2 linked regions of the Callithrix jacchus genome follow. The protein of the gene in region 1 purifies or fractionates together with the protein of each later gene. This does not show direct contact. Links are inferred from orthologs where the notes say so. Each region holds a gene or a part of one and is shown on either strand. Other genes may lie near its edges.

The links.
Region 2: the proteins of SWSAP1 (region 1) and SPIDR purify together in Homo sapiens (co-immunoprecipitation; 3 studies listed by BioGRID and IntAct, with this or other methods). This does not show direct contact. The link is inferred for Callithrix jacchus from reciprocal best matches to the Homo sapiens genes SWSAP1 and SPIDR.

The regions. Positions count from the first base shown.
Region 1 is NC_133523.1:10,522,294-10,525,663, forward strand, and holds SWSAP1 (ATPase SWSAP1), read left to right. Parts: upstream 1-1,255; 5' UTR 1,256-1,269; coding exon 1,270-1,518; intron 1,519-2,023; coding exon 2,024-2,527; 3' UTR 2,528-2,640; downstream 2,641-3,370. UniProt on the Homo sapiens protein: ATPase which is preferentially stimulated by single-stranded DNA and is involved in homologous recombination repair (HRR). Has a DNA-binding activity which is independent of its ATPase activity.
Region 2 is NC_133517.1:7,384,381-7,388,203, reverse strand, and holds part of SPIDR (DNA repair-scaffolding protein), read left to right. Parts: intron 1-1,411; coding exon 1,412-1,591; intron 1,592-3,823. UniProt on the Homo sapiens protein: Plays a role in DNA double-strand break (DBS) repair via homologous recombination (HR).

The sequences.
Region 1 (3,370 bases):
AGGAGAAAGGGTGTGGGGAATGAATGTGTGATAGTTTGTATGGGATGCTTTGTGTCAGGATAGGGCAAGGTTGGAGCATGTGGGTGATGGGGATCCTGAAAGTAGAATATATTCAGAGATGCCATGGTGTGTGTGTGTGTGTGTGTGTGTAGAGGGGTGTGAGGGTGCCCAGCTGTGTGAGTGGGCGTGTTGGGGGATGTCATGGAGCTGTTTTCTGGTCCCAGAGGGAGAGAGAAAGCCCAGGAAATCTCACTTTCTCCCTGCCCCTGGGTCTCCAGGCAACAGCACCACTTTGAAGTTACCAGGAGACAAGGTTGCCAGGGCAACACAGGCGTGAGTGGCAGCTCTGGGGCAAAGTCTGGGTGAGAAGATCCAGCAGCGAGGGATCACGATCATTCACTTTGTTCCTCCCTTTCTCCCTGTTTCTCATCAATCCCACCTCCCTTCCTTCATTGATTTAACGACTATGTATTTGAGAACCTACAAATGTGCTAGGTGCTATTCTGGGTACTGGAGAGACAGAAGTGAACAAGACCAACAGTGTCCCTGCTGTATCTCTCCCTCAGTCTTCCAGCTCCTCTGTCTCTCACGCCCTCTTCCTTGGCCTGCGGTCCTGCCTTTCCTCCATACCACAAGGAAGGCCCCACTAAACCCCTTAGCCAGGGAGGAAGTAAGTTGAGAGTCCTCATTTCATTGACTTTCAGGGATGGCTGCTGATGTTTTGCACACGAGTGTCCCTGAGCCCGTGTCCCCAGACACACACTCCTGCCCATACTCAGGTGCACAGAAAGACAAGCACACAGCTCATTCCCCTCTCCAATTCTCAGCTGTCACTGGATGGCATCAGCAAAACCACACACAGATACATGCCAAGCACAATATTCCTCTGAGATATCCTAAGCCCCATTTTACAGGAGGGCAAACTGAGGCTACGAGACTTGAAATAATATATCAATCATTACGGTCTACTCCTCCAACTCTCAACCCTTATATTTGTCTGATTAGCTGACAATAATAGTGTTCGTGCTGCTTTTCCCAGCAGCCTCCCGCAGGGAAGGGTCATATTTCCCTCGAAAGCACCCATTGCTCAGCACTAGGTTCTAACCATTTGCCCATTCACCCGGGGCGGAGCTAGCCAAGGTCAATCGAGTTTTGATGGACAGACTCCTAAACCAATAGAGAAACGAAGTGAAGTATAACCGATGCGGCCTCAGCTTGGGCGGGACTAAGGCTGGGAACGCGCCACCAATTGGACAGAGTACACGGCGAATGGCGGAGACGCTGAAGCGGGTGCTAAGTAGGGGAGGCGCGGCCTGGTCCAGGGAGGAGAACACGCCTGCCGCCGGACCGCCTTTGCTGCTGCTCGGCGCACCAGGATCTGGAAAAACAACAATGCTATTTGCTGCGGCCCTAGAGGCGGCCGGGGAGGGCCAAGGCCCAGTCCTCTTCCTGACACGAAGACCTCTTCAAAGCCTACCTCGCGGGACCGGAACGGCTCTGGACCCAATGCGACTCCAAGTAACCGTGGGGGTGGGAGCAGAGGCGTTCTAGCCAATGGTGGAGTCGATCCGGGGCGTTTAGTGACAGGTGGACAAGCCAATGGAGGGGACGGTGGAAAGGCAAGCCAGGGCAGCCATGGTGGGGCGGAGTCAGGCATGCGTAAGGGAGGTGGGACCTTGGGGAGCTTAAGATTGAGGGGCGGAGCTAAGCCTGGGTCCATTCTGTACCAGAGTTGGTTCCTGTTGGGGTCAATGATGGGCTCGGACCGAGCATACTGGGAGGCGGTTTTCCGTGGAAAAACTGCCCTAGAGATTTGGCCAAAAACAAGCAAAATTGGCTTTCCCTCAACTAATACTCGGCAGTGATGAATGCTGGAAAAAGGGGCGAATACAAGAATGTTGAACCGCTCTGAACTGGTTCATCCTGGAGGCAAGGAAAAGCATGTAAGGAGGCAGGGTTACTCTTGCGGGGAGTCTGGCTTCCTGTGCTGAACCTGGCCCTTTCCTTCTGTTTCTTCTTCTAGAAGATCCGCTTCCAGTACCCACCCTCAACCCGAGAGCTTTTCTGGCTCCTGTGCTCTGCCCATGAGGCCCCGGGGCCAGCCCCCTCCCTTCTGCTGCTAGATGGCCTAGAAGAGTACCTAGCAGAAGACCCGGAGCCCCAGAAAGCCGCCTACCTCACTGCCTTACTTCTAGACACAGCTGCCCACTTCAGCCACCGGCTTGGGCTTGGCCGGGACTGTGGGCTCATGGTGGCCCTCCAGACCCAGGAGGAGGCAGATAGTGGGGACATCCTGCACCTGGCACTGCTCCAGAGGTATTTTCCTGCCCAGTGCTGGTTGCAGCCAGATGCACCAGGTCCAGGAGAGCATGGCCTCCGAGCCTGCCTGGAGCCAGGGGGACTGGGCCCCAGAACAGAGTGGTGGGTGACTTTCCGATCAGATGGAGAAATGATGATCGCTCCGTGGCCCACCCAGGCTGGTGACCCCAGCTCAGGCAAGCGTTCAAGCTCTGCAGGCCAGCCCTGAGCTTTGGTGGGTGACCACGTTTCTATGCTTCAGTTTCCCATGGTCATGTGCAGATCCAAAGACCTAAAGAATGTAAAATGCTTTTTCTCTTTTAAAAATATAGCATTATCTTTTATGTATTGCACCCAATCAATATATTGTTTGGTTTTGTTACTTTAAACTTTATAAAAAGAGTTTCAGGCCGGGTACGGTGGCTCATGCCTGTAATCCCAGCACTTTGGGAGGCCGAGGTGGGCAGATTATCTGAGGTCAAGAGCTCAAGACCAGCCTGGCCAACATGGCAAAACCCATCTCTACTAAAAATACAAAAAAATTAGCCAGGTGCATTGGTGCGCGCCTGTAGTCCCAGCTACTCGGGAGGCTGAGGCAGGAGAATTGCTTCAACCTGGGAGCTAGAGGTTGCAGTGAGCCAAGATCATGCCACTGCACTCCAGCCTGGGCGACAAAGGGCGACTGTCTAAAAATAAATCAGCCAGGTGCCAGGCACAATGTCTCACACCTGTAATCCCAGCACTATGGGAGGCCATGGCAAGCGGATCACCTGAGGTCAGGAGTTTTGAGACCAGCGTGGCCGACATGATGAACCCCTGTCTCTACTAAAAATACAAAAATTAGCCATACATGGTGGCAGCTGCCTGTAATCCCAGCTACTCTGGAGACTGAGACAAGAAAATCACTTGAACCTGGGAAGTGGAGGAAGTGAGCCGAGATCGAGCCACTGCACTCCAGCCTGGGTGACACAGATGAGATTCTGTCTAAATAAAAAAAAAAGTCACCCAGGCTTAGTGGTGCATGCCACTAGTCCTAGCTACTTGAAAAGCTGAGGCAGAAGGATCGCCTGAG
Region 2 (3,823 bases), on another chromosome or scaffold:
GGTAAGGTTGTGGAGAAACTGGATCACCAGTACATTGCAGGTATACAGAAAATGGTACAGCCACTCTGGAAAACAGTCTGGCCGTTTCTTAAAGACTAAACATGCAATTACCATATAACTCAACAACTGTACCCTTAGGCATTTGTCCCAGAGAATGGAAATTAAATTCACATAAAATCCTGTATACAGATGTTCATAAGCAGCTTTGTTCATAATAGCCCCAGACTAGAAACAACACAGATGTCCTTCAGTAAGGGAATGATGAAACAAACTATGGTGCATAGTACCATGTATACTATTCAGTAATAAAAAGAAGATAAGTGTTGATATACACAACTGAGATGACTATCTAGGAAATTATGCTGAGTGAAAAAAAGCCAATCCTAAAAGGTTACATAGTGATTTCATTTATGTAACATTTTTTTGTTCTTTGAGACTGAGTTTCACTCTTGTTGCCCAGGCTGGAGTTCAGTGGCTTGATCTTGGCTTACTGTAACCTCTACCTCCTGGGTACAAGCGATTCTCTTGCTCCAGCCTCCCGAGTAGCTGGGATTACAGATGCTGCAACCGTGCCCAGCTAATTTTTTGTATTTTTAGTTGAGACAGGGTTTCACCATGTTGGCCAGGCAGGTCTCGATCATCTAACATTCTTAAAATGAAAAAAATTACAGAAATGCAAAACTGAGTAGTGGTTGACAGAGTTTAGGGATTGATATGGGGCCAGGAGGTGATATGGCAATAAAAAGGTAATGCAGGGCATCCTGTGGTGATAGAATTGATCTGTAGCTTGACCAGATCAATGTCAGTATCCTGGTTGTGTTCTACTACAGTTTTGCAAGATGTTACCATTGGAGGGACTGGGTGAGGGACACAAGTATTTTCTCTGTTATTTCTTACATATAGTTGTATGTGAATCTACTATTATCTTAAAATAAAAAGTTTAATTAAATACAAGGTTAGCTGTCAAGTGTTCTATGCACCCTGCTCCCAGAGCTCTTAACATGGCAAAGGAAGCACACAGAAGCATTCCTTTTATTCATAAGTTTGACTTTGTGTTTTGCATTTAAAAAGATTTTTTTGTTTCATCAAATATCCAAGGAAGTTATACTTTTATAAATGTTATTTCAAGTCTTACTTTTCCAGTTTTCTTTTGTGCTCCAGTCATTTTCCTTTTTTTATATAACTTAACCAGTTCTACTTCTTTTTCTTCTTGGAACTTAGCTTCAACTCAGAGAATGTTAGTGAGATTGTACATAGCACTTTAGGCAGGAAGATTTGATGTAGACATTCCTTTTCCTATCACAGAGTTTTGTGTATTTGTGACTTTGGCAAAATTACATGCATAAAATTGTATTCTGATAAATAGCCATATAAGGGGATCATGTTTATGTGCTTTCTTTTTCTTCAACAGAAACCAGCACATCTAAGAGCACCAATGAGCTTACAGACATTACATGGAGTTCCAGTGGAAGTGATTTGTCAGATGAAGATAAGACACCTTCTAAACTACAGAGAGATAATGGACATGGCTCTAGAATAAACAGATTTTGTAAGAGGAGCATTTTGTGTCCAGAAGATGGGGCCAGTGAAGGTAAATTGATAATTTTGTTAGAAATCCAGTTTCTGTTAAATATTGGATTTAATATTGGGAGAAACTTACATTCCTTTCTAGTATTTATCATTAACATTCCACCTATCAGAATGGCTACAATAAAATATAGTGACAATACCAAATGCTGATGAAGTTATGGAGAGATAGGATCACCAATACATTGCAGGTACACAGTAAAATGGTACAGCCACTCTGGAAAACAGTCTGGCGGTTTCTTAAAGACTAACTATGCAGTTACCATGTAACCCAGTAAGTGTACCCTTAGACATTTGTCCCAGAGAATGAAAATTAAATTCCTTTCTAATAGGATTTTACTGAGTCCCACCCTCTGTGCTAAACACTTCAGAAACATTTTCTGACTTGATATTTCTCACAGTAACTGTAAGAGATAGGTATTATTTTTATAGTTAACAGCTTAAGCTTGGACTTACAAGAATGGATTGGGATTCCATTTTAGGTCTCTTTTGCTCCATAGCCAGTTCCTTCAACTTCTACACAGTGCTGCACCCATACTGCCTTCTTGCCAGCCTGTTATTGTTGAGTAAATACTGTGACAACCAATGTGTGATAGAGGTGTAACAGACTGACAAATTTCTATTTAGATGGTGTTTTATATTGTGTCATGTGTAGATAATTTAAAGCAAAGTTTCTCATCCTTGACACTCTTGACATTTTGGGTCAGTTGATTCTTTGCTATGGGGAGAAGCACCTTCCTATGCCTTGTAGGATATTCTGTGTCCCTGGCCCCTACCTTCTGGGTCATGGCAGCATCCCAGCCATAGGGATGATAAACAAAGATGTCTCCAGATGTTGTCAAGGGTCTCCTGAAGTACAAAAATCACCCCTAGTTGATAACCACAGATGTAGAATTATGGAAATCATGTCTTTTTAGAAATTTTACAATATACAAATCATCTAGAGTATTTAAAGATCTTAATGTTTTCAAAATAAGCTTGCGACTTTTAACTCTGACAGTTCATGATAGGTTTGTACAGACAGCTTCTGGGGGGGGTAGTTAAATTCTTTTGACCACTTTGTATCTCATTTTAGTAATTCAATACCCTTGACATTTTAGTAGTTATCAGGTGAAGTGGTGTTTTAAGATTATGTATAAGCTGATAGCACCTGTATTATTAATTCAGACACATTAAATGAAATTTATTGTTACGTAACCCTTGGTTTGTCTTCATACATTTCAGAATACAATTTCAGTAGTACAACTTTGTGCTTTTTGTGGGTAATACTATGGTTTGCAAATTATATCTCAATAAAGCTGGTTTTTTTTTAAAAAGTTTATCTTCTATGAATAGGGACATTCAGTACTTTCTAAAACTCTTAACAGTGGAAAGATGCTTTGTGCTAATTACTTAAGAATGAGTTTATAGTACTTTAAAATTGTTGACTTATCTTAAAAAGTTGAGCACTAAGTGACAAGTAGGTGATCCCTTGGGGTTTGTGTAATTCTGTTTACAGCTTCTGGTTTATCTTTCTCTTCCCCAACTCCCCATCCTCTGCTCGTGTCCTTCCTGTCCCCACTTCTTCCTTCCTTTTTACATTTACTGGTTAAGTTTTTGTTTGACTCAGACATTTGACTGGGTGTCAGATGTGCTTATTTCCTTTGATGTCTGCTGTATCTTGTGTGCTAAGTAGTATCCTCATTTTAGAGAAGAAATATGGGACTTACAAGTCACTTGCCCAGAGTCACATAGTTAATAAGTGTGCCAGCTGGTAACCAGAACCAGGTTTGTCTAACCTGGATGCCGTATGCCTCAGCACTATTGTGGTGGTCACCAAAGCTGGCGTCCAGGTATCAGAATTACCTTGTGAGCTTTAAAAACAATATTCCTAATGCTGAATACAAGCTCAATATATAAACATCCATTTTAATTTTATATGAGTAACAAATTATAGGACAGTTTTAAAAAATATTATTTACATTAATATAACAAATATAAAATGTTAGATCTAAAATACAAAATGTGTAAGATATTTAGAATTATGTAAAAGATTAACAGAAATTAAAATGGAAATTTAAAAAAAGTAAAACGATATTCCTAGACCTTTTTGCAGTCCTGCTGGATTGGTCTCTGGACCTTAAGGCCTGGAATTGGGCTTGAGAGGGAGGAATCCTGACTTAAAATTTTAAAATATTTTTCTCTTAAAAATACTTTCCCTTCCTTTTTTTTTTTGGAGACGGAGTCTCACTGTGTC